Linked DNA regions of Anolis sagrei. The protein of the gene in region 2 interacts with the protein of the main gene of each other region in a pairwise test. Links are inferred from orthologs where the notes say so. Each region holds a gene or a part of one and is shown on either strand. Other genes may lie near its edges.

The links.
Region 1: the proteins of TRIM69 (region 2) and ASNS interact in binary tests that used the Homo sapiens proteins (3 or more experiments, as listed by UniProt). The two-hybrid records come from large-scale screens. The link is inferred for Anolis sagrei from reciprocal best matches to the Homo sapiens genes TRIM69 and ASNS.
Region 3: the proteins of TRIM69 (region 2) and FAM110A interact in binary tests that used the Homo sapiens proteins (3 or more experiments, as listed by UniProt). The two-hybrid records come from large-scale screens. The link is inferred for Anolis sagrei from reciprocal best matches to the Homo sapiens genes TRIM69 and FAM110A.

The regions. Positions count from the first base shown.
Region 1 is NC_090026.1:100,056,052-100,066,749, reverse strand, and holds the start of ASNS (asparagine synthetase [glutamine-hydrolyzing]), read right to left. Parts: upstream 4,948-10,698; 5' UTR 4,720-4,947; intron 1,301-4,719; 5' UTR 1,283-1,300; coding exon 1,034-1,282; intron 1-1,033.
Region 2 is NC_090029.1:25,771,175-25,782,241, forward strand, and holds the start of TRIM69 (E3 ubiquitin-protein ligase TRIM69), read left to right. Parts: upstream 1-5,578; coding exon 5,579-6,064; intron 6,065-7,547; coding exon 7,548-7,643; intron 7,644-9,185; coding exon 9,186-9,419; intron 9,420-9,658; coding exon 9,659-9,681; intron 9,682-11,067.
Region 3 is NC_090024.1:240,805,906-240,816,619, reverse strand, and holds the start of FAM110A (protein FAM110A), read right to left. Parts: upstream 5,186-10,714; 5' UTR 5,028-5,185; intron 1-5,027.

The DNA.
Region 1 (10,698 bases), on a different chromosome or scaffold from region 2:
CGGAAAGGCACCCATTTTCAGAAGTGGTGCTTGAAAATGAAAACAGGGCCATACAAATGAAACAAACAGAAACAGGTAGTGATACTATACAAATGCACAAAACTACTTTCCACAGTGGACCAATCCTGATCTCCAGATTGTGCAAATCACTACCACATGGTAGCATAAAGCCATTGAAATGAATAGGATTTGTTAGTCTCCACTACCTGGAACCAATATTAGATTCAATTTCTATCCCCATAACCAAAAATGTCTGTCATAAGGCCTGCTCCCAGAGATGACTCTCATTATTCCTGCAAACTTCTACATTTTCCTGTGTAGTCTTAACAATTCTGACTTTTTGTTGTGGTGAGACATTGAACAGCAGAGAAATCCTCAACTCTTCACTGAAGTCCATTTTTATTGGATCTTAGCCCCCAGTTTTTTAGCCATTTCACTGAGCCTCTCTCAGGTCTAAGGGCCCTTCCACACAGCCCTATATCCCAGAATATCAAGGCAGAAACTCCCACAATGTTTGCTCTGAACTGGGTTATCTGAGTCCACAATGACATAAACTCCAGTACAAAGCAGGTAATGTGGGAGTTTTTCAGCTCTGTGGATGGGACCTTGGTCTCTTTTATACGTTTTTCTGTCCAGTTACCTAAAGCCTCATGGTGGCCTAAGAGTCTTCATAGAAAGGAGTGGAATGTCTCTTTTTTGTAGATAGATGCACTCCTTTTTGAGATAACCTCAGGACCACAAGCCCTTAATGGGTGAGACCAAAGCCAACACAAACCCATAATGGGTACACTATCCTCCTTCCCCATTGTCTCCCCCTCTACTTCCCCAGCCCCATCCTCTCATCAGGGATCTGACAGCTTACAGACAGCTCTGGAAACCAGGACAAAGGATGCAGATTGTCCAAGCATGGTCTAAAGAAATTACAGGTTGAACATGCAAAGGATTTTACTAAGACAAGAGAGGCACGAGGAAAATGTGTCATAGCAAGTCCTAGAAAAGGAGTTCCTTATAAGAGGCTTTAGGGGATTTTTACCTGCTTGTAGTTATAGATTTCTCCATTGTAACACAGCCACAAGTAGGGAAATTTCTTCACTCGTAGAGGCTGCATTCCATACAGCTGGTCCACAATTGCCAGACGATGGAAGCCAAAACAGCAGTTGGTGAATCCATTGACATTCTCAAATCGGAAAGCATCCGGGCCTCGGTGTGCTATTTTCATGGCACACAGACACTGAACAGAGAGGCATCCATCGCTCCCAAAAAGAGCCCAAATGCCACACATGATGATGTAGATTCAAGGCTGTTGGAGAAGAAATAATAACAAGAACAGCAACGTGATGCGGTGACCAAAAGAAAAAAGCAAATGCAACAGTAAGCTGTACCGACAGAAGTCTAGTGTCCAGATCATGGAATAGTAGAGCCACTCTATTCTGCTTTAATCAGAGCTCAACTGAAATACAGTGTCCAATTCTAAACACCATTGTTCAAAAAGCCACCACAAAGCAGGGTTTTGGCCTCGAGTAAGCTGAAATGGGCCTATATGAGGCAGACACTTTGGCACTTTAGTTGTGATTTAAAGGCTGGTCTGAGTTTTAAACTGTATTTTTATTTTATTTTATGTATTAATAGTGGTTGTTTTTATAACTTTTATGTGATATTGTTTTTATACTCATGTACCGTTTATATTATATACTACACTTGCAGTGTCTTGTAAGCTACCCTGAGTCCCTTTTGGGAGATGGGATATAAATAAAGTTTTTATTTATTTATTTATTTATTTATTAAGAGGATTGAAGATTTGTAAACAGATATGTTTAGCTGGATATGTCTAGCTTGAAAAAGAGAAGTAGAATTACAATCATCTTCCAATATCTGAAAGAATGTCATATACAGTCACCTCTTCACATTAGGGATGCAGGAGCCTATTGGAAATGGAAATAAAATGACTTTTTAACCTGAGAGAACACTTCTCTAGCAATTTCTAGGACTTCCAAGCAGACTCTATGGTCAAGTTTGAGTAGAAGTTGGCCACAGAATTGAAATGAAGATCCCAGAGATTCCTAAAAAGTTCATATCAATAAAATCCAATGTGCAAAAGTTCAATCTGTAAACAAGGAGGGATAATGGTAGAAAATGAAGTTAGCTTATTTTTTTACTGCTCCAGAGACCACATTTACCAGCGGATCTACACTTCACATTCAGCAAAGGACAAGAAGGATCCTCTCACCTCTGCAGGAGTCTACCGTACACCATGCAGCTGTAGACAAGGCTACATAGGGACCACCAAACGCAGGATTGCCCAAACATGAATCAAAGACCATGAAAGGCACATCACACTAATTCGACCAGAGACGTCAGCCATAGCAGAACACCTGATGAACCAACCTGGACACAGCATATTATTTGAGAACACAGAAATGCTGGACCACTCTAACAACTACTATGTCAGACTACACAGAGAAGCCATTGAAATCCACAAGCATGTGGACAATTTCAACAGAAAAGAAGAACCATAAAATGAACAAAATCTGGGCTACCAGTATTTAAAAAAACTCTAAAATTATAACAGTAATTAAAGAACAAAGCTCAAACACTGGGGAACTCCAGACAAGAAACAATCAGGGCCAGTTAACACCTCTCAACAATGGATTCCCCCAGGCAGGAAGCAGCCAAGCCTTGAAGCTGAAAAACTATTCAATGCTAATCAAGGTGATCAATTGCAGCATTCATACTTGCCTCAAACAGACAAGAGTTCTTTCTCCCATCCTGGACATTCAACAGATATATAAACCCCACTTGCCTTGTTTCCAACAGACCTCACAACCTCTGAGGATGCCTGCCATAGATATGGGTGAAACGTCAGGAGGGAATGCTTCTGGAACATGGCCATAAAGTCCAGAAAACTCACAGCAACCCAACAGAGAAAATCAGCTGTGAAGAACTGGATAGAAATGTCTTCCTGGGCTCAATGACTTAGCAATTGACACATTACACACTATTTGTAATAGTAATATTAGAAAATTTTGACCATTTCCGCTACCTTGGCAGCCACCTTTCCACAAAAGTCAACATTGACACTGAAATACAACACTGCCTGAGCTCTGTGAGCATTTTTCTGAATGAAGCAAAGAGTGTTTGAGGACCGAGACATCCGTAGGGATACCAAGGTGCTTGTTTATAAAGCTATTGTCCTCCCAACCCTGCTATATGTCTGCGAGACGTGGACTGTTTACGGATGTCACATGAAACTCTTAGAACAATTCCATCAGCATTGCCTCCAAAAAAAAATCCTGCAAATCTCTTGGGAAGACAAGCGGACATGATGGAAGAAGCAAAGACCACCAACACTGAAGTGATAGTCATCCACCATCAACTCCGCTGGACCAGCCACGTTTTCCGGATGCCCGACCACAGTCTCCCAAAGCAGTTGCTCTACTCCTAACTCAAGAATGGAAAACAGAATGTTGGAGGACAGGAAAAGAGATTTAAAGATGGGCTCAAAGCCAGCCTTAAAAACTCTGGCATAGACACTGAGAACTGGGAAGACCCGGCCCTTGCATGCTCCAGCTGGAGGTCAGCTGTGACCAGCAGTGCTGTAGAATTTGAAGAGGCACGAATGGAGGGCGAAAGAGAGAAACATGCCAAGAGGAAGTCGTGTCAAGCCAACACTGACCGGGACCGCCTTCCATCTGGAAACCAATGCCCTCACTGCGGGAGAAGATGCAGATCAAGAATAGGGCTCCACAGTCACCTACAGACCTACCACCAGTACACAGATCTTGGAAGACAATCCTACTCGGACAATGAGGGATCGTCTAAGTAACACGCTATTTGAGTCGAAGTAACCTATGGCGCTGTATTGTTACAGTGTTATTATTCCACTTTAACTGACACAGCAACAGTATCTGGAGTCCTGCGATGTGTGGTTGAGGCAATGGCATTTAATGGTCTTGGTGGCGTTACAGGTCTTGGGCATCACTAAATCCATAGGATATTGTCATGGCATTTGGAGTGGAATAAGAGCACTATAATAGCATATGCTAGGAAGTTCGGGCTACAGGTCAGGTTCCAATATCCATTCCTTACCAAGTGTATTAGTTATCCCACTAAAAAAAGAACTGGAAAACTGGACTGCAAGGAATTCAACAGGTGTAGCTTTCCTCCACCTTTCCTGTGATGCGGAGAAAGTAAATTATACTGTAGAGCAGGTATGGGAAAACTTGGGTCTTCCAGGTGTTTTGGACTTCAACTCCCACAATCCCTAACAGCCTCAGAACCCTTCTTTTTCCCCCTCAGCCGCTTAAGCGGCTGAGGGGGAAAAAGTAGGGTTCTGAGGCTGTTAGGGATTGTGGGAGTTGAAGTCCAAAACACCTGAAGGGCCCAAGTTTGCCCCTGGCTCAATGCTATGGAATCATGGGCACTGCAGTTTGACAAAGTCTTTCGCCTTCTTTGCAAAGTTCTGGTGCCTCATCGAATTCCCTGGATCATTCTCATACCATAGAGCAGTTCAAGTGATATCAACCCGCATTAATTCTACAGTGCAGACATGCACCTGTGGAAGCCCAGAGTTTGGGAATAAACTGTCCTAAGAGGCATAAACTCATAAGTTTGGGAATAGAAAGGATACCGAAAGCTTACATGGAGACAAAATGATCCAAGGAGGGAGATAATATATTATTACTACCATTATTAGTATTGAAAAGGCTATCCCTTTCTTACCTGAGCTCAGAGGAGGAGGAGGAACACAATTGCTTCCGCACTAGAAGAGCAGTTGGCAGGAGACTTCCACGCCTCCAATTCATCCGTGTGTCAACCGAAAGCGAGAAGGGGAAATCTGGCAAGCCTTCGGTAACACGAGGCCGGATTGCATCAGTCCTGAGCTCCGCCTCCCGCTTGCAAACTGGCAACTGATTGCCTCCCAGGGCTACCCACCGAGCAAGCGCTTCCCAGGAGAGAAACTAGGTTGCGACCAAAGCCGGCTGCCACTCATGCCTCTGGTCCCGCCCTCTTTCCTAAGCAGGGCATCGACATCAGGCATGGGCAAACTTCAGCCCTTCCTCCAGGTGTTTTGGACTTCAACTCCCACAGTCCTAGGCTTGGACAGCACCAGCATCCATTTCTGTAATGATCAAGTTCTCTGGAGCTTTGGGTTGCTGTGAGTTTGTATAGCCATGTTCCAAAAGCATTCCCTCCTGCTCGCATCAATGCATCCTCAGAGGTTGTGAGGTCTGTTGGAAACTAGTCAAGTGAGATTTATATATCTGTGGAATGTCCAGAGTGGGAGAAAGAACTCTTGTCTGCTTGAGGCAAGTATGAATGTTGCAATTGGTAGATTTCTCTCATTTCCTGTTGTCTCACCCCCGGCTGCACCCCCGAAAGGATCAAGGCAGTGACATCTCCAGCTCATCCCCTGTTTGGATATCGGCCAGCACCTCAACGACTTAAATCAAGAAATCATTTTCTAAGATCTACAGAGACACTCGCTGGAACACCTCAGCAAGCAAGAGTCCAAAAGTGGCGGGCTCAAACCCAGAACCTCAATCAATGGCTGATACCAAATGAGAGACTCCCCCCTGGACACACAAAAAACTGGGCGACTTGGAAGGTGCTCTCTGACACCACGAGAAGCAGAGCCAACCTTAAGAAATGGGGCTAGTAAGTGGAATCCACGACATGCGAGTGTGGAGAAGAGCAAACTACAGACCACCTGCTGCAAAGCAACCTGAGCCCTGCCACATGCACAATGGAGGACCTTCTTGCAGCAACACCAGAGGCACTCCAAGTGGCCAGCTACTGGTCAAAGGACATTTAATCAACTACCAAGCTTGCAGGGGCGGCTCAACCCATTACACAAAGTAAGCATTTGCAGTATAGTTGATTTTGCCCAGGGGCGCTCTTGAGGCACTCTTGGGGGAAAATAGACCTTGACATTTGCGAGTTGTAGTTACTGGGATGTATAGTTCACCTACAATTAGAGCATTGTGAACTCCAACAATGGTGGAATTGAACCAAATATGGCACACAGAACTCCCACAACGAACAGAAAATATATATCAGTGATTGGTTGGGGGGGCGGGCTAGGGCCACCTCTGCCAGCTTGCAAACTTTATGTTTTGTTTGTTAAAAATGCAACACAATTGTTTGGTCTGCTCCTGACATGATAAATAAACCCCCGTTCTTAACTCTGAATCATTTGTAAATCAGATGTTTGTAACTCAGGAACTGCCTGTAATCCAGTGTCTGATTCCAGATTATCAACGTTGAACTGAATTATGAGTCTACACTGTCATATAAATCAGTTCGAATCTGGATTTCATATGGCAGTGTAGATAAAGCCTGAGGGAATCCTGGGATATGCAGTTTGGAGAGAGAAGCTTGAATTTCTGCTGCAGTTCAAGAGAATTGGAGCTCTATAACAATCAAACAATTTCCTTCCTAAATTGTATATCTCCTGATTCCCTAGGCTGGAGCCATGGAAGCTAATGTGATAGCTTACCTACCTACTGTATCGCATATAACAACAAAACAACAATATTTATTATGGTCCATAGACCCATCAGTGAAACAGACAATCATTTCTAAATTCTCACAACTCAGAAGTTCATTCTACCAAATATCAGATACATCTGCATTGTTTCAAGTCATACCCCTATTGGAGGTTTCTTTCTTTCTCAGTCTTGTTGCCACTGCAAGGAATTTTGCCACTGCAAGAGTCACCCTGTAGCATTTATCCTCGCATATAATTTGACCCATGGATCAGGCCCATATAATATGGGGGACATCTGCTTCAATCAGCCAGGACTAGGTTAGCAACTGTCATCCAAATATTTTTTTTTTCTTCATCTGCCCCTAGACTGTGGAATGATCTGCTGGAAGAGATTTGACAGCTGCATCCGCTGTCTGAATTTAAAACAGGATGAAAGACCAGTCTCATCTGGAAGGCATATCCCGATTATTTTCAAATTGTGAAGTTTAAAGGATGGACTGATTGTTTTAGTATCTTTTGGTTTTACTTAACATCATGTGTTTATAAGAACATGTGTTTTTAAACTGATGTTATGTGTCAGATTTTAATGGTTCCCCCATCTCATAGGAAAAGGCAGATGATAATAATAATTCCTCTATGATTCAGTAGTGTGGATAGTTGCTTCTTTCTCCAGACTGATGTGAACTTGTAGTGACAGCCCCAGGGTGCATCTACATCTGTAGAAATAAAGTATTTTGACAGCACTTTAACTGCCACAGCTTAATGCTGTAGAATGCAGAGACTTGTAGTTTTATCAAGGTCTTTAGCCTTCTCAGTCAAAGTGCTGGAGCCTCATCGAACAACAATTTCTGGGATTCCATAAAATTGAGCCATGGCAGTTAAAGTGACATCAAACTTCATAGTGTACAATAGTGTTTCTCAACCTGGGGGTCAGGACCCCGGGGGTGTGTGTGTGTGTGTGTGAGGAAAACACATTTCTGATGGTCTTATTAACCTCTTTGCCAGAGAAGGCTGAAAATCTCTCCACCTGTCCTTCTCTTCTTTTTTGGTGTTGGTTAATTACAACTCCCAGAATTCAAAAACAGCCCCCCCCCCCATCCCACCAGTATTCAATGTTGACCATGTAGGTGGTGTTCAGAGTTTGATTCAGATCCATTGTAGCCTGAGTTCAGAGTGCTCTTTGATTGTAGGTGAACCATAAATCCCAGCACTTACAAATGTCAAGGTCTATTTCCCCCAAACTCTGTCAGTGTTCACATTTGGGCATATTGAGTATTTGGGCCAAGTTTGGTCCAGATCCATCATTGTTTGAGTTCATAGTGCTCTGTGGAGGTAGGTGAACTACAACTCCAAAACCCAAGGTCAATGCCCACCAAACCCTTCCAGTAATTTCTGCTGCTCATGGGAGTTTTGTGTGCCAAGTTTTGTTCAATTCCATTGTTGGTGGAATTCAGAATGCTCTTTGATTTGGGTGTATTGGGTATTTGTGCCAGTTTTGGTCCAGTGAATAAAAACACATCCTGCATATCAGATATTTACATTACAATTCATAACAGTAGAAACATTACAGTTATGAAGTAGCAACAAAAATGTTATGGTTGGGGTCACTATAACATGAGGAACTGTATTAAAGGGTTGCGGCATTAGAAAGATTGAGAAATACTGGTGTAGAAACACCCTCTTTTTATGAAAAAAAAAAATCAAAGAGTGAAGTCAAATTTGAATGACAACATGAAGGTCTAAGAGTTTCCTTCTGGCACCGTATTAGAAAAGTTACCGGTTGGACCACATGACATTGTGACACTGGCCAATTTAGCAGAGGAAGTCAGGCAGTTGTTAAAAGAAAATAACTTTTCTATGGTCTTGTCTCCAAAAGAAAGTAGTATAACGAGTTGAAGGCTGTGTAGCTGGATGAAACTGCAAAATATGTGCTGATCTGAGTCCTTGTGTTAGCCATCTAAAAGTTTTATTTGTGTTGCTGCCAAAACGTTTGGAACCAAGCCCTTCACAGCTGTTGCAGTAAGTCGTGCACATGTTGAATCGATTTGATTAGCATGTTTGACTTATTTATCGCCCTGAAAGAAAATGCAATAAAACGAATGAATGGCAGTTGTTTACAATGAGCTACATTTGTACTGCTATCGCTCAGTCTCCAGACAGACAGATTCATTTAAAGTTCTTTTCAGGTTTTTCCAGATTCTACCATTCTGAGTTATGCTCTACTATCCGCTTGCTAACTAAAACTCTGTTTTACTTTCTACTTCTGACCCAAATTCACTTATGAATAAACCAAACAGTTCCTTCTGGTACATGTCTTTAGAAACCTGCTGCCTACTACTATACTCCATTACAAATACTATAATGATGTTGTTGCTCCCTATTTTTATCCAGTTTTCCCAATCTATATAATTATTTGACTGTTCCTTATTAGAGATAATAGCCAAAACCCTTTTGGAAAATCCATGTTACCAATTACTGGAGATGTTTGATGAATTGTCGAAGGCTTTCCTGGCTGGAATCATGGGGTTGCTGTGAGTTTTCTGGTCTGTATGGCCATGTTCCAGAACTTTCCTGACATTTTGCCTGCATCAATGGCAGACATCCTCAGAGGTTGTGAGGTATATTGGAAACTAGGCAAGAGGAGTTTATATATTTGTGGAATGTCCAGGGTGGGAGAAAGAACTCTTGCCTGTTGGAGGCAAGTGTCAATGTTGCAATTGTCCACCTTGATTAGCATTTAATGGACTTGCAGCTTCAAAGCCAGGCTGATTGCTGCCTAACAATTACCAACTACAACGTCGGACTATACATAGAAGCCACTGAAATCCACAACAGCTAATCTTCCAAACAAAGGATTCCCCCAGGCAGCAATCAGCCAGGCTTTGAAGCTGCAAGGCCATTAGATGCTAATCAGAGTGGCCAATTGCAACATTCACACTTGCCTCAAACAGACAAGAGTTATTTTTCCCATCCTAAACATTCCACATATATATAAACCCCACTTACCTAGTTTCCAACAGACCCCTCAACTTCTGACAATGCCTGACATAGATATGGGTGAAACGTCAGCAGAGAAGCCTTGTGGAACATGGCCATAAAGCCCGGAAAACTCACAGTAGCCCAATTACTGGAGAACTGGGAGCCTTACTATGTGAGCTCTGACAGCATTCAATAGAACTGAATTTTACTCACTTTCAGTTAAATCTGTTTTGCATGTAATTAATAATTGTTGTGAATGATAGCCCCCACCATTCTCTCTTTTTTTAAAAAAAAATACCATTGTCTGGATATGCATATCCACACATAGGTTTGGTTATCCCACATATAAACTATTAACAAATCTTAATATTCATCATGGTACAATTTACTACATATGTAAAGTGAAACTATTAGGACAAAAGCAGCAGTCACATCATTCCGTCACAAGGTAGAGCTATTGCTTTGGCAGTCAAAGCTCAACTTTGTTTGTATAGGATTATGTGGACACTTTCAACGTTTCTATATTAAAGAGTCTGTATTTGACAACATCCTTCAAAAGGCTGAAAAAATGTTTATTTTACCAATAAATTAATTATTTTTAGACTGTTTTTAAAGCTGACTAGTAGCCAGACTTGATGCTGATGTCCCAAAGGAGAAATAACAGTGTGTCTAACTGTAGTCTTTTTCAAACTGAGAAGCCATTTCAAGAGAGAATTATTAAGAATGAATGTTTAACCCTTATCTTTCCCAATATTTTCCTGTTCAAAATCATTGTTGGTGACATTTCGTAAGTAGCTTTCCCCCTTTTCCCAGAAACTGTATTAGCTACTAATCTGAACTACATCTCCCAGAATCTCCAATCCAGAAAGAACATTTTACAAGCTCTGGTTTTGTTATAAAATAATTTAAAATGTGCAAACTCCCTGGATGTATTTACTGTGCACATTGGATTTTATCGGCATTAATTTGACAGCTTGGTTTGTGAATCCATTTCTGCATGGTTCCACATGACGCAGCATCGAACAGGAATGTCAATATGGTATTGGGCTGAAGCCAGAGAGTGCAGTACTCCACTGGTTAGACTGGAAGGCGCTGAGCCCTGTAACTAGAGAGCCACCTCATTGCCATGTCACCATCTACTGAAAAACCCACAAGGTTACATTTCAACTAGAAACTGAAATTACAGCAAGTGCACTCTTTCTGTTAATGTGGTTGCAGTGTAATTGTTTGTT
Region 2 (11,067 bases):
GAACCACATGACCTTGGAGGTGTCGCACCTCAGAGTAGAACCACCTTGCTTATGACACCAAAGAACACACCAGCAGTAGTCTTTGTAGTTTTATTAAAAGAAAAGATAAAAGGTTCAAAAAGCAAAAGTATATTTCAAAAGATCAATCCAAAGTAACATAGGCAAACAAGATCCATGAAGGCATAGGCAAGGCAAGGTCCCATGAGAACATGACGAAGTCCTGAAACATGAGCATGAAAAGCTGCAAGATAAATCCAAAGTCTCTTGGTTGAAGCGTGAAGTTGCTCTGACACTGAGGCACATTCAAACAGTCTGTTTAATCCTGGGCCAGGATGAAGGCGTTCCTATGGCCTCGGGCCTCTTTCTCTCTCTCGCCTTCCGGTGATCCTGACACTCCTTTGCACTTTCAATTCCAAGCGATCAACTCTATCTAAACCACCGGCCCCATCGAAGTCAAATCCCTCATTAGCTGGCTGAGAATGATCCTCCCTTCCTACATTCCTTCATCAGGCACCTGGTTCTCACTTTCAGTAGTTTCACTTTCCCCAGCGTCAACCCTTGCTGTGGGAAACAAATGAACTCCTGCCCCCTGGTCCTGGTATCCTCGTCTAACACAGGAACATCCTTGCTTTGCATCTGACTCTGAATCTGAATCTCATCATCTCCATCAGAATCATTGATACCATCACTCTGTGATTCAAGCTGAGTCACAACAGGAGGTGTCTAAGCTCTTCGGCTTAGAAATGGAGATGAGCACCAACCCCCAGAGTTGGACATCACTAGACTTAATGTCAGGGGAAAATCTTTACCTTTACCTGAGAATTATAAATTCAAGTACCTTTCATAGCCAAAATTAGACTAAGCCCATTTATGTTGGAGGGTACCCATCAGAAGATTTTTTTTGCTCATGGCTCTTTCAGGCCATCCTGGACTCCTCCCCTCTCCACTTACAGGTAGGCATCCAAGGAGGAAAAGATCCCAAACTTCCATATGTTGAGAACAGAGGTCACTTAAGCTGCATCAGCAGAGACAATAGTAAGGTGTGACACGACTTCAAGTCCCAGGTGTGGAGGGCTGTGTGTTTCCACATTGCCTGTGTGCTTTGGAGATATCTAGAGTCAAATAGAGGGAGAAAATGTGGAGACAATGGCAAACTTTGTATTTCTAGGTGCAAAGATGACTGCAGATGCAGACTGAAGCCAGGAAATCAGAAGACATTTCCTTCTTGGGAGGAGAGCAATGACCAATCTCAATAAAATAGTGTAGAGACATCACACTGGCAACAAAGATCGGCATATTTAAAGCAATGGTATTCCCCGTAGTTACCTATGGATTTGAGAGCTGGACCACAAGGATGGCTGAGCAAAGGAAGAGAGATGCTTTTGAACTGTGGTGTTGGAGGAAAATTCTGAGAGTGCCTTGGACCGCAAGAAGATCCAACCAGTCCATACTCCAGGAAATAAAGCCAGACTGCTAACTGGAGGGAAGGATAGTAGAGGCAAAGATGAAGTCCTTTGGCCACATCATGAGAAGACAGGAAAGCTTAGAGAAGGGAATGATGCTGGGGAAAATGGAAGGAAAAAGGAAGACGGGCCTACCCAGGACAAGATGGAGGGATGGCATCCTTGAAGTGACTGGCTTGACTCTGACGGAGCTGGGGGAGGTGACGGCCAACAGGGAGCACTGGCCTGGTCTGGGCCAGGAGGTCACAAAGAGTCGGAAGCGACTGAACAAATAAACAACAACAACAGAGTCAATCAAATCTTATTACAAACTAGCCGTCCCCTGCCACACATTGCTGTGGCCCAGTCTGTGTATATGTGTTTTGTGTGTGTATATATGTGTATATATTTGTGTATATGTATATATATGTGTGTATATGTGTGTATGTGTGTGCGTGTGCCTGTGAGACGTGGACTGTCTACAGATGTCACATGCAACTCCTGGAATGATTCCATCAGCGTTGCTCCAGAAAATCCTGCAAATCTCTTGGAAAGACAAGCAGACAAATGTCAGCATGCTGGAAGAAGCAAAGACCACCTGCACTGAAGCGATGGTCCTCCGCCATCAACTCCGCTGGACTGGCCACGTTGTCTGGACGCCTGACCACCGTCTCCCAAAGCAGCTCTACTCTTCAAGAACGGAAAATGGAATGTTGACGGGCAGGAAAAGAGATTGAAAGAAGGGCTCAAAGCTAACCTCAAAAACTCTGGCATAGACACTGAGAACTGGGAAGCCCTGGCCCTTGAGCGCTCCAGCTGGAGGTCAGCTGTGACCAGCAGTGCTGCAGAATTTGAATAGGGAAGAATAGAGGGTGAAGGAGAGAAACATGCCAAGAGGAAGGTGCATCAAGCCAACCCTGACCGAGACCGCCTGTCACCTGGAAACTGATGCCCTCACTGCAGGAGAAGATGCAGATCAAGAATAGGACTCCACAGTCACGTACAGATCCACGGCATACTACACACTGACCCTGGAGGACCATCATCCTCAGACAACGAGGGATCGCCTAAGTAAGTAAGGAAATAAAGTGTATGTGTGGTTTTGCGCATGTGTTGTAATGTATTTTTATGGGATTTTTTGCTTTTTAGTCCCTTCTGCTGTGTTTTTCAGTGTTTTAATTAGTGATGGTCATTCATTGGCCTGAGATGTGAATTGAGGCCTCACTTCAAGATCTTTGTCATTCAGAGAAAGAGCGGAAAAGAATCATTGGAAGCCAGGTAGAACCTTCAGGAAAACAATTGGCCAGTGGCAGTTATGTCATAGGATTCTAAAGCTGCCTAATAGAAAGGCAGAGCTGGAAGGAGCAGCTTGGACAAGGTTAGCTCAAAAACAGAGGTGAATCTGTAAGAAATGGACTAGGGGGGGAAAAGGACCGTCTAGAAAAGGATAAGGACTTGCTTGGACAAGGCTAGCTCAAAAATAAAAGGTGAGTCAGTAAGAAATGAACAGGGAAATAAACAGGAACGCAAAAGAGGAGCACTCTCAGCCTTACTATGAAAATATTTAATAACTAGCTGTACCCACCATGCTGTACCCTCTTTCTCTCCTTCCTTCATTCCCTCTTTCCTTCCTTCCTTTTCTTCTTTCCTTCTCTCCTTCCTTCTCTACCTATTTCCTTCTCTCCTTCGCTTTGTTTCCATACTTCCTTCTCTCTTTCCTTCTTTCCTTCCCTCCTTCTTTCTCTCCCCCTTTTCCTCCTTTCTTCTTTACCTCTTTCCTTCTTTTGCTTTGTTTCCAGCCTTCCTTCTCTCTTTCATCCTTTCCTTCCCTCCTCCTTTCTCTCCTTCCTTTGCTCCCTCTTTCCTTCCTTTTTCTTCTTTCCTTCTCTCCTTCCTTCTTTACCTCTTTTCTTCCTTCCTTTGTTTTGTTTCCATCCATCCTTCTCTCTTTCCTTCTTTCCTTCTCTATTCCTTCCCTTCTTTCCTTCCTTCGCTTTGTTTCCATCCTTCCTTCTCTTTCTCTCTTTCCTTCCTTTTTCTTCTTTTCTTCTCTCCTTCCGTCTCTACTTCTTTCTTTCCTTCCTTTGCTTTGTTTCCATCCTTCCTTCTCTTTCCCTCCTTCCTCTTTCTTCTTTCCTTCTCTCCTTCCTCCTTTACCTCTTTCCTTCCTTCACTTTTTCCATCCTTCCTTCTCTTTCCCTGTCTCCTTTCTTCCTTTTTCTTCTTTCCTTCTCTCCTTCCTTCTCTACCTCTTTCCTTCCTTCCTTCGCTTTGTTTCCATCCTTCCTTCTCTCTTCCCTTCTTTCCTTCCCTCCCTCTTTCGCTCCTTCTTTCCCTCTTTCCTTCTCTATCTCCCTTTCTTTCTTTCTTTCTTTCTTTCTTTCTTTCTTTCTTTCTTTCTTTCTTTCTTTCTCCCCTTTCTCCCCTTTCTTCCTTCCCTCCCTCTTCCTTCCCTTTTTTTCTGCATTGTCATTTAGCTTTTTGTCATTTAGCTTGTTTTGATTTTTAAGTCCTTTCTGCTGCTGGTTTTCTTTGGGGAGGGGGGTTATGAGTGATGGTCACTCATTGGTCCATTAGGGGTTTAGTGTCCAAATTTCATGTCAATTCATCTAGTGGTTTTTGAGTTATGTTAATCCCACAAACAAACATTACATTTTTATTTATATAGATGTTGCTGAACTCGGTCTAAACCAGGATTAGCATCTAGCTCATTTCTGATGCTAATAATTCTGGCCACACTTTTCCAATGTAATATTAATGCCAAATGCCCAGATAGATGGCTGACAATCTCTTTAATTCAAATCCAGGACAGATACTTAATTGTCTGGGGTGTCTTTAGGCTCTTTCCCACCCACCATAGAACATGAGAATAGTACTTCTAGCATATCTCAGCCCCAAGCAATAGTTACCTATCAATAGACAAATGGCAGTTCCCAATTTTCATGACTTATTTTGTAAGCTTACTTAATGTATTTTCTACCTTGCCATATAGATTATAGATAGCTGCTCTTTGTTTCTTACATGATTTAAAAAAAAATTGCATGTGTTATTATTGTTCTGTATCACATCAAAATCTTCATATGGATTTGCAATTAAATACATAAACTGGGGAGAGGTAAGAAATAGTTTTAAGATAGTCCCATGTCCTCGCATGGGAAGGTAGAGCTGATAGATGGGTGCTCACCCTGTCTCACAGATTCAAACCGCCGACCTTCAGACTAGCAGTTCAGCCAGCACAAGGGCTTAACTCATTGCGCAAACGTGGCTCCATATGTCAAACGACATACGGCAGCCATACTCCTGTCTACAATTTCTTTACATGAGTATCAATCATTATTACGAGGGTTGAATGAAAATTAATGCCTCCACCTTCATAACTCCTCAACAGATGGCAGTACTGGTATGCGGCAGGTATTGGTTTGTTCAGTAGACTCTCCTCTACAGTTCCATTTTGACAGGAAGCCTTAGCATTGAACAGTTGTGTTGTTAAAGTGCGAAGTATGGAACCCTGCGCAGACAGTCGGTAAATATGACTTAAGCAACGTGTAGGCATTGAATTCTTGACAGCAGAAGATGCCACCTCAACATCTTCAAACTTACTTGCCCAGTGACACACAATACTCACATCAACACAGTCACCATAAACAACTTGCATTCTCAGATGAATCTCCTGTGGGGTGACACCTTCAATGACTGCACGTTGCTTAAGTTGCATTGACCGACCGTCTGCGCAGGGTTCCATACTTAGCACTTTAACAACACAACTGTTCAATGCTAAGGCTTTCCACCAAAATGGAACTGTAGAGGAGAGTCTACTGAACAAGCCAGTACCTGCCGCATAGCAGAACTGCCATCTGTTGAGGAATTACGAAGGTGGAGCCATTACTTTTCTGCTAAGGCTTCCTGCCAAAATGGAACTGTAGAGGAGAGTCTACTGAACAAGCCAGTACCTGCTGCATAGCAGTACTGCCATCTGTTGAGGAGTTATGAAGGTGGAAGCATTACTTTTCATTCAACCCTCGTATATTTCAAAGTTATGAAAAACACTTCTACATTGACATAAAGATTGAACTTTAATTCCACTCCTTTTTTCCCCTTGACAGAGCAGCAACTTTAAGCATTTTCTTTCTGAGACCATGTCCACCTCTACCAGCAAAAACCCTTCCACGTCCTCCTTTGTTTCAATCCACGAAAGACCAATCTTCCAGGGTCCTTCCGATACGTCATGGGAGCTGCATGCGGATGATTTCACCAAGGAATTGTCCTGCGGTGTGTGTCTAGAACTGTTCAAGAACCCGGTTATCCTGTCCTGTGGCCATAACTTCTGTAGGGATTGCCTAGAAGACTTATGGAAGAAAAAGGGCATCTTCTGTCCACAATGCCACGCGAGTGTCCCCGATCGAAAGTACATCTCGAACACCGCCCTGGAGAAGATGGCGGATAGGATTAAGACCTACCACGTGGGGTGCCTGCAACAGAAGTGCATCGAACACAGCGAGCCGATGACTCTCTACTGGAAGACGCAAGAAAAACTCGCCTGCTTCACCTGCCGGGAAACTCTGCTACCCAAAGAGCAATGCACACAGTTCCTTCTCATTCCAGATGCTGTACAGATCTTTACGGTAACTCTCATGCCATCACCAGTCTATATAAATAAAAATGTAATGTTCGTTTGTGGAATTAACATAACTCAAAGACCACTGAACGAATCACTGCCATATTTGGCCACAAGACACCTACTCACCCAAGGAGTGACCATCACCCAAAAAATTGGGTTGTTGTAGCTTTTTCGGGCTATATGGCCATGTTTTAGAGGCATTCTCTCCTGACGTTTCGCCTGCATCTACCTCAGAGGTAGTGAGGACTGTTGGAACGAGGAAAATTGGTTTATATGTCGGTGGAATGACCAGGGTGGGACAAAGGACTCTTGTCTGTTGGAGCTAGATGTGGATGTTTCAACTGACCACCTTGATTAGCTTTTGATGGCCTGGCAGTGCCTGGAGCAATCTTTTGTTGAGAGGTGATTAGATGTGCCTGATTGTTTTCCCTCTGCTGTTTTGCTGTTTTAATTTTAGAGTTTTTTAATACTGGTAGCCAGATTTTGTTAAGGAGGAAACCATGAAAATGAACAAAATCTGGCTACCGGTATTAAAAAAATCACTGAGAAGGCCCTGTCTCTCGTCCTTGCCAAACGCGCCTGTGATGGTGGTGGGACCGAGAGCAGGGCCTCCCCAGAAGATCTTAATCTCTGTGGTGTTTCATAGGGGGAGATGCATTCGGATAGGTAAATGGCCGGGGCCATTTAGGGCTTTATAGGCCAAAGCCAGCACTTTGAATTGTGCCCAGTAGCAAACTGGCAGCCAGTGGAGCTGGTGTAACATGGGAGTTGTGTGCTCCCTGTACGCCGCCCCAGTTATTAGCCTGGCTGCCTCTCACTGGACTATTTGAAGCTTCCGAGCAGTCTTCAAAGGCAACCACACGTAGAGGGCGTTGCAGTAATCTAACCTAGATGTGACAAGAGCATGGACCACCATGGCCAAGTATGAATTTCCAAGGTATATAAGCAGTATAGATAGATAGATAGAGTAATGGAATTATTATTATTATTATTATTATTATTATTATTATTATTATGAATGTATCCTAGGCCAAAAAAACACCAGGAAAGCATCCACCTAATAAAGATTCTCTAGAATGCCTATCTATCTATCTATCTATCTATCTATCTATCTATCTATCTATCAGCAGTATAGATAGATAGATAGATAGATAGAGAGAAAATGTAATAGAATTATTATTATTATTATTATTATTATTATTGATAATAATAATATTTTATTTATACCATGCCACCATCTTCCATAGGGACTTGGTACGTCTTATATATAGCACACATGATGCCACACCACACATAAAATACAGTATATCAACATTGAAAACATTAAAAATACAATAACATATTTAAAACCAAACATATAAAATTGACAGAAGTTAAATATAGAATTATTCATTGAATGTCCAAATTGAAAATGTTGATGTCACTATTTTACTTAGGTGTGATGACTTACCTATTCTATAACATTCTTTGTGACTATTTACCCACAGGAAAAGTTGCTCATGATGAGAATTCAGCTCAGATCCATCTTGGTGAAGTTGGAGGTGTTGAAGAATGCCCAGGAAGAAAAGATCAGTAACCACAAAGTGAGTATCATTGATTCAGTAGATCTCTACTTGAATATCTTACTGTTGAGTATTTTAGGTGATGGAAACTTGTGTTTTGTACTTCTGAAGCAAAGGAACACACTGGGGACATTATCACCTGAAGCTGTCAGATGTTGGCTCCCTAGATTAAAAAAAAAAACCAACTTACCACCACATGACATTACCCTAAACCAGTGATTCCCAATCTTTAGTCCTCCAGGTGTTTTGGACTTCAGCTCCCACGATTCCTAACAGCTGGTATGCTGGCTGGGACTTCTGAGAGTTGAAGTCCAAAACATCAGAGGGACCAAATGTTGGCCTAAACCCACTGAAAACCAATCTTCAAGGTGTGTTGAGTAAACAAAAATTGTATTTCCCCATTTTCGGCTCCTGAATTATTATTCAGAAAACTTTAGAAAGCAATTTCTGCCATGCAGTATCATGAATGAAATGCAAAGATACAGAAAGAGGGACATGTGGCTCAAAAGCAGTATGTGTGAAAAAGATATTGGAGTCCTCGTGGACAACAAGTTAAACATGAGCCAACAATGTGATGCGGTGGCAAAAAAAGCCAACTGGATTTTGGCCTGCACCAATAGGAGTATAGTGTCTAGATCTAGGGAAGTCATGATACCCCTCTATTCTGCCTTGGTTAGACCACACCTGGAATCACACTGTGTCCAGTTCTGGGCACCCCAATTGAAGAGAGATATTGACAAGCTGGAATGTGTCCAGAGGAGGGCGACTGAAATGATCAAGGGTCTGGAGAACAAGCCCCATGAGGAGCGGCTTAAAGAGCTGGGCATGTTTAGCCTGAAGAAGAGAAGACTGAAAGGAGACATGATAGCCATGGATCAAGATGTGAGGGGAAGTCATAGGGAGGAGGGAGCAAGTTTGTTTTCTGCTGCTTTGGAGACTAGGACACAATGGAACAATGGCTTCACACTACAGGAGAGGAAGGAGATTCCACCTGAACATGAGGAAGACTGTGAGTGCTGTTCAGCAGTGGAACTCTCTGTCCCGGAGTATGGTGGAGGCTCCTTCTTTGGAGGCTTTTAAACAGAGGCTGGATGGCCATCTGTCAGAGGTGCTTTGAATGCAATTTTCCTGCTTCTTGGCAGAATGGGGTTGGACTGGATGGCCCACGAGGTCTCTTCCAACTCTAGGATTCCATGATTCTATGAATCCACTTCAGTGGATTTTGTGGATTTGATAATTCATGGATTTGATTAATATGTGCTCTATAGGAATCATTAGGTCCTCCGGTGCAATTCTACAGTCAACTTCCAACAGAGGTTGACGATAGCGTTGCATGGGAAGACCTAGAAATTCCTAACGAGAACACTTCCTAAATATTTGGAGGTCTTCCAGTGGCCAAAGTTGACAATAGAGCTGCTGTAGAGTATTCAGAGGATGTTTTATTTGCACTTGTTCAGCTTTTATGAGGTCTCTGCCCACTTAACTCCAGCAAATGTGGAAGGCCCATTGTAGTATCTATCACCAGTCCTGCTTGCGTAATCTAATTACTTTTCTTATTTCCAGGAGAACAAATTGCAGCTCCAGTACCATATCTCCTTGGAATTCCTAAAATTGCACCAATTTCTTCATAGCAAGGAAAAGGAGTTAATCAACCAGTTAAAGGAAGAGAGTGAAATCCTGCTTCAGGAGATGGAAGCGAATATTAACAGACTCCAAGACCGAACCCAGAGTGCTAAGGATACTCTGGTTTGCATTCAGGCCCGGCTGTACCAGCAGAATTCGGCTAGCTTCTTGAAAGTAAGAATTCGAAATGCAGTCTCGCTCTGGATTGATCCCAGAGTGTCACAGACACTAGACTGGCCACTTCCTTTCACTTGGTGTTAGAAAACACCTCACATTAAAAAAGAGAGTTAACTGAGACCATATATATGATCTATGAATGCATATATAATTTCAGCATAGTCCTAGTGATATTGTACAACTATTTATTTTAAAAGGCAATTTTCACACATTTTTTCCTTTTTTCTCTCTGACAGGGAATCAAGGTTTTTATAGAAAGGTAAGTACTGGTTAATAAGAGGGTCTTCTCAGGTTGCATCTACACTGCAGACTTAATGCAGTTTGACATCTTTTAACTGCTTTGGTTCCAGTCTATGGAAACCATTCTTTTTGATATGAATGTTTCAACAGAATGGCCTCAAGATTATTTATTTTCCATAGAAGGCTTTTTTTTCTTTTTAAGAGAGAAAGAGAGAAGGTAAGTTGTAAATTAGTAATAGCAAGTTAATATTTTGTCATTTGCAAAGTATGGTATGCATATGGTATGAGGAAATCAAGGAGTGGTTCATAGTAGGTGAGCAAAATTATTCTACCTATTCATCCCATATGAAGAAAATGTGGGATGACTATGAATGATTGGTGCATGGAAGAACGGGAAACTCCAATCAGCACTCAGAATGAATTCCTGGATGTCTTTTGCACCAGAGTTTCACTGGTGGATCTTAAGATTCTGGTGAAAAATAAAATAGATATAACAAAAGCAGGTCTATGTATTGTCGAAGGCTTTCGTGGCTGGAATCACTGGGTTGTTGTAGGTTTTTCGGGCTATATGGCCATGTTCTAGAGGCATTTTGTCCTGATGTTTTGCCTGCATCTGTCGCAAGCATCCTCAGAGGTTGTGAGGTCTGTTGGAGCTAGGAAAATTGGGTTTATATATCTGTGGAATGACCAGGGTGGGACAAAGAACTCTTGTATGTTGGAGCTAGATGTGAAGGTTTCACTTGGACACCTTGATTAGCATTTGATGGCGTGGCAGTTGTTTGGTGTGGCTTGTTAGTGCTTGAGGGAATCTTTTGTTGAGAGGTGATTAGCTGTCAATGGCTTCTCTGTGCAGTCTGACATGGTGGTTGTGAGAGTGGTCCAGCATTTCTGTGTTCTCAAATAATATGCTGTGTCCAGGCTGGTTCATCAGGTGCTCTGCTATGGCTGACTTCTCTGGTTGAAGTAGTCTGCAGTGCCTTTCATGTTCCATGATTCGTGTTTGGGCAATGCTGCGTTTGGTGGTCCCTATGTAGACTTGTCCACAGCTGCATGGTATACGGTAGACTCCTGCAGAAGTGAGAGGGTCCCTCTTGTCCTTTGCTGAACGTAGCATTTTTTTGGATTTTCTTGGTGGGTCTGTAGACAGTTCGTATGTTGTGTTTCCTCATCAGCTTCCCTCTGCGGTCAGTGGTTCCCTTGATGTATGGCAAGAACACTTTTCCTCTGGGTGGATCTTTGTCTTGACTCTCGTGGCTTGTTCTCGGTCTTGCAGCTCTTCTGATGTCTGTGGTGGAGTCTCGATTGGCCCGCAAAGCCCAGTTGAGGTGGTTCAGTTCAAGTTGGAGGAAGTGGGGTTCGCAGATTCTTTTTGCATGGTCTGCCAGGGTTTAAATGGTGCTTCTTT
Region 3 (10,714 bases), on a different chromosome or scaffold from region 2:
TGGAAGCCATAGCACTAAGCCACGGCAGTTAACATATTGTTGAACTGAACTTTGTAGAAGTAATGCAGCTTGACACCATTTTAACTCCCATTGTGCAGCACTATCTAATTTCATGAATTGTAGTTTTGCAAGGTACTTTGCCTTCTCTGCCTCACAAAACTACAACTCCCTGGAAGCCATAGCACCAAGGCATGGCTGTTAACATATTGCCAAACTGCATTCATTCTACAAACTGGAAAAGCAAGCCAAGAAGTTCTGCAAACATCTCCTTTCCAAAGCAGAATTCCATCCCATTAAGAAAACTCTGTTCATATATTTGAACACGCCTCTGCATTCCAAAGTCTGCCGTTCACTTCTATGAACACTGTCCATAGTGTTTTGAAAGTCAACTGAAAGGACTTTTAAAAAGAACCAATACTGGATTTGAATTCCCTTTTTAAAATCTGTTGACTTTTGAAATGTTGGAAACAATTCCAGATCAGAGGCACTAGAAACCCAAGTGACCTTGGAAGATAAGCAGGGTCAGCCCAGGTTAGCAGTTGGGTGGGAGACCATCATGAATGTCGGGTAAACTCGATAAAATTCATGGGTTGCCATATTGAAATAAAGCAATTTGAAACGGTCCACGGATGATGAGATCTGGACTTTGAAGGCGCAGATACCGAGTCTCTTAGGTGGCCACCAGCACCGGTCAACAGCCGTCCAGTGCAGTGTTTCCCAACCTGGGGGTCGGGACTCTTGGGGGGGGGGTTGCAAGGGGGTATCAGAGGGGTAATTATAATAATAATAAAAACTTTATTTATACCCCACCACCATCTCCCCAATGGGGACTCAGAGCAGCTTACATTGGGCCAAGCCCGGACAACATAGAATCACAGAATCAAAGAGTTGGAAGAGACCTCATGGGCCATCCAGTCCAACCCCATTCTGCCAAGAAGCAGGAATATTGCATTCAAATCACCCCTGACAGATGGCCATCCAGCCTCTGTTTAAAAGCTTCCAAAGAAGGAGACTCCGCCACACTCCGGGGCAGAGAGTTCCACTGCTGAACGGCTCTCACAATCAGGAAGTTCTTCCTCATGTTCAGATGGAATCTCCTCTCTTGTAGTTTGAAGAAATTGTTCCATTGCGTCCTAGTCTCCAGAGAAGCAGAAAACAAGCTTGCTCCCTCCTCCCTGTGGCTTCCTCTCACATATTTATACATGGCTATCATATCTCTTCTCAGCCTTCTCTTCTTCAGGCTAAACATGCCCAGCTCCTTAAGCCGCTCCTCATGGGGCTTGTTCTCCAGACCCTTGATCATTTTAGTCGCCCTCCTCGGGACACATTCCAGCTTGTCAATATCTCTCTTGAATTGTGGTGCCCAGAATTGGACACAATATTCCAGGTGTGGTCTAACCAAAGCGGAATAGAGCATGGGGAGAATGACTTCTCTAGATCTAGACACTATGCTCCTATTGATGCAGGCCAAATAGGAGCATAGTGTCTAGATCTAGAGAAGTCATGCTACCCCTCTATTCTGCTTTGGCTGTAGATCACACCTGGAATATTGGCTGTAGACCGGTTCTGGCGGCTGCCTAACAGACTTGGTATCCGCGCCTTTGGGTTCTGGTATCCAAAGTCCGGATCTCACCATCCACAGCCAAATAATAATAATAATAATAATAATAATAATAATAATAATAATGGGGACTTGGAGAGGCTTACATGGGGCCAAGCCCAGACAACATATTACAGCAAAATAAAACCAAAACATAAACAACAAGCAACATCATCAAAATTACATAAAAAGAAAAAAACCAAATACAGTAACAAAATAACATTCCAATAAACACAATCACAATAACACAATCAATATGTTGACAGGGGGCCTGAAGGCACACAACATCTTCCTTAACCATATTCTCCAATTCATGTATATCGTCACTAATGGAGACCTCCAAAATCCACATTATTTATGCAGTATTTTTTGTAAAGCATTAGTAATCCTTATTTTTTTTTAAAATCTGAGTCTGGATAGTGAATCAAGTGATACAACACTTGGAAAAAAAACCAAAATATTATAGTTTTTTATATGTATGCTAATCACAAAGTGATTCTTGGTGGAGAATCTGGCACGCAGTCAATATAACCCAGGGGAAAAATGCAGTTTCTTTTTCACATATGATAATCCAGGCCCTATTCTGGGAAGTGTATATTCTCCATCTGTTGTCCTCCCAGCCATCTAGACCACACCTGGAATATTGTGTCCAATTCTGGGCCCCACAATTCAAGAGAGATATTGACAAGCTGGAATGTGTCCAGAGGAGAGCGACTAAAATGATCAAGGGTCTGGAGAACAAGCCCTATGAGGAGCGGCTTAAGGAGCCTGGCATGTTTAGCCTGAAGAAGAGAAGACTGAGAGGAGACATGATAGCCATGTATAAATATGTGAGAGGAAGCCACAGGGAGGAGGGAGCAACTTGTTTTCTGCTTCCTTGGAGACTCGGACGCAATGGAACAATGGCTTCAAACTACAAGAGAGGAGATTCCATCTGAACATGAGGAAGAACTTCCTGACTGTGAGAGCTGTTCAGCAGTGGAACTCTCTGCCCCGGAGAGTGGTGGAGGCTCCTTCTTTGGAAGCTTTTGAACAGAGGCTGGATGACCATCTGTCAGGGGTGATTTGAATACAATATCCCTGCTTCTTGGCAGAATGGGGTTGGACTGGATGGCCCATGAGGTCTCTTCCAACTCTTTGAAGGAGACCATGAAAATCAACACAATCTGGCTACTAGTATTTAAAAACTCTAATATCGGGACAGTAAATAAGGAACAACACTCAAATACAGGGAAATTCCAGACAATCAGGGCCAGCTAATCACCTCCCAACAAAGGATTCCCCCAGAGAGGAAGCAGGCAAGCCTTAAAGCTGCAAGGCTATTCAATACTAATCGAGGTGATCAATTGCAGCATTCACACTTGCCTCAAGCAGACAAAGAGTTCTTTCTCCCACCCTTGACATTCTTCCACAGATATATAAACCTCACTTGCCTAGATTCCAACAGACCTCACAATCTCTGAGGATGCCTGCCATAGATGTGGGTGAAACGTCAGGAGGGAATGCTTCTCGGACATGGCCAAACAGCCCAGAAAACTCACAGCAACCCATGATCCCTTAAGTCTTGAGCGATTATTCCTAACTCAATCCAACGATCCTGTGTTCTCGTCAAAAGAAAAGTTACATTTTTCTGTTGGCCCTCCATCTATCATGAGAAGGAATCTTGGAGCTTTCCAGATGTCCTTGGACAACAATTCCCATCATCCCTGACCAGCAGAGCCAGTTGTGAGGAATACTTTGGGTTCCGGTCCCTATATTTCCGAAGGCCATACAGTTCTCTGCCCTTCTCTACTGGGTATGGGACAAAAAGGGAAGGAAAAGGGGATTTTATTATTATTTCTGTATTCTATTATTATTATTATTATTGTTATTATTATTGTATGGGGACTTTCGTGGCACCTTAAAAGCTAACCTTAAATCAAAGCTTTTGCCCTTTTTTCAGAGACAAGCATAGGTGAAAATAAGCCAATAAGTTTTGAAAGTGTCCAAAAACTTGTATTTTCTTCCAGCTTTCTATGAGAACCAATGACCTAGGACATCTTTGAAAATAGATACAGGGCAAGCACTCTACCTGTTGGATTTCTACCTGCAGCACAAATCTTGGAGTCTTGATAGCGAGGGAAAGTGGGAATAGAAGTCTTGCATTACTAAGAAGACACACCTAGGTGTCTAAAGGAGAGAGGGTTGCCACCCTACCTGTTGGATTTCTGCCTGCCACACAGCTCTTGGAGACATGATAATCTGGAAAGTTGGGGAAATGGGAGTCTTCTGCTCCTAAGAAAAAAGTGACTTTGGCGTCTAAATGAGGGAGAAGTGAAGCACTCTACCTGTTGGGTTTCTACCTGCCAGGCAGGTCTTTGGGGCTTGATAGCCAGGGAAGGGGGAATAGAAGTCATGCATTACTAAGAAAAATGTTCTGAGAGTTGAAAAAGAAAGTAGGCACTTTACCTGTTGTATTTCTACCTGCAACACAAATCTTGGGGTCTTGATAGCATGGGAAAATGGGAATAGAAGTCTTGCACAACTAAGAAGACAGACCTAGGTGTCTAAAAGAGAGAGGGTTGCCACCCTACCTGTTGGAGTTCTGCCTGCCATACATGATAATCCGGAAAATGGTGGGGGAAAGGGATGAGAGCCTTCTGCTGCTACGAAAAAAGTGACCTAGGTGTCTAAAAGAGAGAGAGGTCAAGTTCTCTACCTGTTGGGTTTCTACCTGCCAGGCAGCTCTTGGGGACCTGATAGCCAGAGAAAGGGGAATAGAAGCCATGCACTACTAAGAAAAATCATCCGGGAGTTGAAATAAGAAAGCAGGCACCCTACCTGTTGGATTTCTACCTGCAACACAAATCTTGGGGTCTTGATAGCATGGGAAAATGGGAATAGAAGGGAATAGAAGAAAGACCTGGGTATCTAAAAGAGAGAGGGTTGTCAGTCTACCTGTTGGATTTCTGCCTGCCACATATGATAATCCGGAAAGTAGGGGGAAAGGAAATGGGAGCCTTCTGCCACTAAGAAAAAAGTGACTTAGGTGTCTAAAAGAGGGAGAGGTCAATCACTCTACCTATTAAGTTTCTACCTGCCAGGTAGTTCTTGGAGACTTGATAGCCAAAGAAAGGAGAGAAAGAGGAATAGAAGCCATGCACAACTAAGAAAAATGCTCTGGGAGTTGAAAAGAGAAAGCAGGCACCCTACCTGTTGGATTTCTACCTGTCATGCAGCTCTTGGAGACCTGATAGCTGGGGAAAGGGGGAAAATGGGAATCGGAGTTTTGAGCTAGTAAGAAAAAATGATCCTGGGAGTTCAAAAGAGAGGGCAGGTAGATGCAACTCTACCTGTTGCATCTCTGCCTGCCTGGCATGGCTCCTCAGTTGGCAGGACAATCTGCAACGTGGGCAGCAATGGAGGAAAAGAAAGGGAGCTTTCTTACCTTCTTGAGAGAGAAAACAGGAGCTCCTTTCCTCCTTTCGTCTCTTCTCTGAAGCAGCTGCTTCTCGTTCTGCCTGCGCCGAGTTAAACCTTCCCAGGTGACCTGAGCGCCCAGGTGAGCGCCTTGCACAACTTCCTGTTGACACTCACCTGGGGAATTTCCCTTCCTGAAGGGGGTTCGCCCAGCAGCAGAGAAGAAGGCAGCAGCATTTGGGAAGAGAGAGGGAGGGAAAGAGGGCTTGCCCAAGGAAGGCACTGCCCTGCCTCCCTGCAGAAAGCCTGCCAATGATTCCCAGCAGTCCTTGCAAGGATAACAACAACAGGTTTGATTCCTTGCCATACTCTCCTTAAGGCTGGGTGCAGCATAGAATCATAGAATCACAGAGTTGGAAGAGACCTCATGGGCCATCCAGTCCAACCCCATTCTGCCAAGAAGCAGGAATATTGCATTCAAATCACCCCTGACAGATGGCCATCCAGCCTCTGCTTAAAAGCTTCCAAAGAAGCAGCCTCCACCACACTCCGGGGCAGAGAGTTCCACTGCTGAACGGCTCTCACAGTCAGGAAGGTCTTCCTCATGTTCAGATGGAATCTCCTCTCTTGTAGTTTGAAGCCATTCTTCCATTGCGTCCTAGTCTCCAGGGAAGCAGAAAACAAGCTTGCTCCCTCCTCCCTGTGGCTTCCTCTCACATATTGATACATGGCTATCATATCTCCTCTCAGCCTTCTCTTCTTCAGGCTGAACATGCCCAGCTCCTTAAGCCGCTCCTCATAGGGCTTGTTCTCCAGACCTTTGATCATTTTAGTCGCCCTCCTCTGGACACATTCCAGCTTGTCAGTATCTCTCTTCAGTTGTGGTGCCCAGAATTGGACACAATATTCCAGGTGTGGTCTCACCAAAGCGGAATAGAGCATGGGTAGCATTACTTCCCGAGATCTAGACAGTATGCTCCTCTTGATGCAGGACGAAATCCCATTGGCTTTTTTTGCCGCCACATGACATTGTTGGCTCATGTTTAACTTGTTGTCCACAAGGACTCCAAGATCTTTTTCACATGTACTGCTCCCCCATTCTGTATCTTTGCATTTCGTTTTTCCTGCCAAAGTGGCAAGGGGTCACTTGTTGAACTGTTGAACTTCATTTTGTTAGTTTTCATCCAGTGGTTTTTGTTAAAACAAAAATATATCTCCTTCCCCATTGGTTTTCAGCATTTCTCTCTCCGCAATGCTAGCAATGTTCATGGAAATGCTAATGATGATGATAACAATAATAATTTTACTCACTACCTGCCTCTCCTTAAGGCTAGCAATCTATATAAATAAAAATGTAATGTTCATTTGTGGGATTAACATAACTCAGAAACGGCTGGATGAATTGACACCAAATTTGGACACAAGACACCTAACAATCCAATGTATGTCCTTCACTCAAAAAAAATTGATTTTGTCATTTGGGAGTTGTAGTTGCTGGGATTTATAGTTCACCTACAATCAAAGAGCATTCTGAACTCCAACAATGATGGAATTGAACCAAATGTGGAACACAGGACTCCCATGACGAACAACAGAAAACACTAGAAGGGTTTATTTATTTTATTTATTTCGTGTACTTCTACCGCGCCCTTCTCAACCCCCAAGGGGGGACTAAGGGCGGCTTACAAAAAGGCAAAATTCGAGGCCTACACAGTAATACAGATAAAAAATAGACAGCAATTAAAACAGTTTTAACAGTTAAAAACAATCAATATATATCACAGTCAATAAAAAAACAATCTTATGCTCAACGTTCGCAACTCAGAGTCCATAACTTCATTCCACATTTTCCATTCCTATCAGTCGTCGTTGTCCTTTATTTATCTGGCAGATTGCCCAAACGCCTGGTCCCAAATCCATGTTTTTTATTTCCTTCTAAAGGAAAGGAGGGATGACGATGATCTAATTTCCCCAGGGAGTGAATTCCATAGGTGAGGGGCCACCACCGAGAAGGCCCTGCTCCTCATCCCCTCGTTTCGTGGGCATTGACCTTGAGTTTGGGAGTTATAGTTCACCTACATCCAGAGAGCACCGTGGACTCAAAAAATGATGGATCTGGACCAAACTTGGCACAAATATTCTATATGCCCAAATATGAACACAGATGGAGTTTGGGGAAAATAGACCTTGACATTTGGAAGTTGTAGTGGCTGGGATTTATAGTTCAACTACAATCACAGAGCATTCTGAACCCCACCAACGATAGAATTGAGCCAAACCTCCCACACAGAACCCCCATGACCAACAGTGTTTCTGGTGGTACCTGGTGACCCCTCTGACATCCCCTCGCAACCCCCAGGTTGAGAAATGCTGTCTTAAGGCCATCCAGTCCAACTCCCTTCACCAGGGCAAGAAAGCATAATCAAAACCGAAATGCTCTTTGATTGTAGGTGAACTATAAATCCCAACAACTACAACGCCCAAATGTCAAGTCTATTTTCCACAAATTCCACCAGTTTTCACATTTGGGCAAATTGAGTATTCATGCCAAGTTTGGTCCAGATCCATCATTGTTTGAGTCCACAGTGCTCTCTGGGTACAGGTGAACCACAATTCCAAAACTCAAGGTCAATGCCCACCAAACCCTTCCAGTATTTTCTGTTGGTCGTGGGAGTCCTGTGTGCCATGTTTGGTTCAATTCCATCACTGGTGGAGTTCAATATGCCCTTTGATTGTAGGTGAACTATAAATCCCAGCAACTACAACTCCCAAATGACAAAATCAATTCTCCCCCCAACCTCACAAGCCCACCAGTATTCAAATTTGGATGTATTGGGTATTTGTGCCAAATTTGGTCTAATGAATGAAAATGCACCCTGCATATCAGATATTTACATGATGATTCATAGCAGGAGCAAAATTACAGTTATGAATTAGCAACAAAAATAATTTTATGGATGGGGGTCACCACAACATGAGGAACTGTATTAAGGGGTCGTGTCATTAGGAAGGTTGAGAAACACTGATCTATACTGTAGAATAAAGGCAATTAGACACCACCTGAAGTGCCATAGCTCAATGGGAGTTGTAGTTTTACAAGGTCTGCAGCCTTCTCTTCTCTGTTGGTGCTGAGCTACAAATCTCATGATTCCATAGCATTTGGACATGGCAGCTCAAATGGTGTTGAACTGCATTCATTCAACTGTATAGATCAGGCATGGGCAAACTCTGGCCCTCCAGGTGTTTTGGACTCCAACTCCCACAATTCCTAACAGCCGGTAGGCTGTTAGGAATTGTGGGAGTTGAAGTCCAAAACACCTGGAGGGCCAAAGTTTGCACATACCTGGTATAGATGCACTCTTAGTGCGTCGCTGACTTTCAAGGTGCCAACTCCTTGTCTCCAGGGATTTGTCTCTTTCCAACGTACCTGAAAACCAATTAGCAGACCCTTTCCAGACGATTTGCAAACTGCATGTAGCTTTATAGTTATCTTTCTCACTGTGCCTATCTTTCTAGAAATCAGTTCCCCCTTCCAAGACATCAGGAAGTGTGGTGGGCTGGGGTTGTCCCATATTTTGCAACCAGACTCGACTTAGAAATGTATGTTTTCCCAGTATATCTGAAAATCAAAACACCGCCTCCTAATTTGCTAGGCAGCAGGGGTGTTTGGGTTGCTAGACTCTTGTCTCTTGCGCATTTTGACTTCAAATGCATCTGGAAATCAATACACAGATATTGACAGCAGCAAGGTGGGGTTGGGCTATCACTTTTATTAAATGCTAAGTATCCTACAATACTCCAAATCCTGTCTGGTTTTGGAGGCTCAGTAGGGTCACCTCTGGTTAGTGCTTGGATGGGAGACTGCCAATGAATATCAGGTTCTATATTTCAGAAGAAGGAATTGGCAGAACCATATCTGAATATTCCTTCCCTAAGAAAACCCTCTGAGATTCATGGAATTGCCATAAATACAGGCATCATGAAGGCACATATAATATACACAGATGGATTGAATGATGGACCATCAGTGATACAAATACTATCCATGACCCTATTGTTGGCTATTGATGCTGTTTCCAAGTAGTGCCATTATGATGCTGTTTTGGACCATTCTTTTCAGATGTACATAGACTCTCAGTTAACAGGCAACCATGGGGAATGATAGGTGCTGGATACATGTAGTTTCTGGTTGCTTGGGAGTTGCTATTAAAAATAGGTGTAACAAATACCATACCCCATATTGTACCATGCCATGAACTCTGTATTGACTTGATATTAATAGTGCAATACAGTCACTGAAAGTACATCAAGACAAAGACAAACTTAACTTAAAGTAACACAGGTTTAATTATCAAAATAGGTTTGTATTTGTTGCTGCTTATTTTCAGACTAGCTGTACCTGCCACGCATTGCTGTGGTCAACCTTCCCTCCCTCTTTCTCTCCTTCTTTCTCTCCTTCCTTCACTCTCTCTTTCCTTCCCTTTTCTTCTTTCTTTCTCTCCTTCCTTCCCCCTTTTTCTTTTCCTTCCTCTTTCTCTCCTTTCTTCTTTCTCTACCTCTTTCCTTCCTTTGCTTTTTGCTTCCATCCTTCCTTCTCTCTTACTTTCTTTCCTTCCTTCCATCTTTCTCTCCTCCTTTCTCACCTTCCTTCGCTTCCTCTTTCCTTCCTTCCTTCCTTTTTTCTTTCCTTCTCTCCTTCCTTCCTTCTCTACCTCTTTCCTTCCTTCTCCCTTTTCTGTTCCTTTTTCTTTCTCTCCTTTCTTCCTTCTCTACCTCTTTCCTTCCTTCCTTTGCTCTTCGCTTCCATGCTTCCTTCTCTCTTTCCTTCTTTTTTTCCCTCCCTCTTCCTTCCTTCCTTCCTTCCTTCCTTCCTTCCTTCCTTCCTTCCTTCCTTCTCTACCTCTTTCCTTCCTCCTCTTTTACTTTCTTTCCTTCCCTCCGTCTTTCTCTCCTCCTTTCTCTCCTTCTTTCGCTTCCTCTTTCCTTCCTTCCTTTTTTCTGTTCCTTTTTCCTTCTCTCCTTCCTTCCTTCTCTACCTCTTTCCTTCCTTCCTTTGCTCTTTGATTCCATGCTTCCTTCTCTCTTTCCTTCTTTCTTTCTTTCCCTCCCTCCCACTTCCTTCCTTCTCTACCTCTTTCCTTCCTTCCTTAGCTCTTACTTTCTTTCCTTCCCTCTGTCTTTCTCTCTTCCTTTCTCTCCTTCCTTTGCTTCCTCTTTCCTTCCTTCCTTTTTTCTTTCCTTCTCTCCTTCCTTCTCTACCTCTTTCCTTCTCCCTTTTTTCTGTTCCTTTTTCTTTCTCTCCTTTCTTCCTTATCTACCTCTTTCCTTCCTTCCTTCGCTCTTTACTTCCATGCTTCCTTCTCTCTTTCCTTCTTTCTTTCCATCCCTCCCTCCCCCTCTCTTCCTTCCTTTCTTCCTTCCTTCCTCCCCTTCCTAACCCTTCCTGTATTATATGATAGTGTAGGTCCTGCCTTCTGTATCTCAACTGAGATAAAAGCTGGATGATGGTGATTATGATGATGATAACCCTTTGTAAACAAGGTTCAAATCCTCACTCAGCCATGAACTCCACTGAGTGTCTATGGGAAAGTCACACTCTCTCAGTCTCAGAGGAAGGCAATGGTGAGCCTCCTCTGAAATCATCTTACCAGGGAAACCTCTCAATGGAATCACCCTAAGTCAAACACAACTTGAAAACACGCAGCAAACAACAAC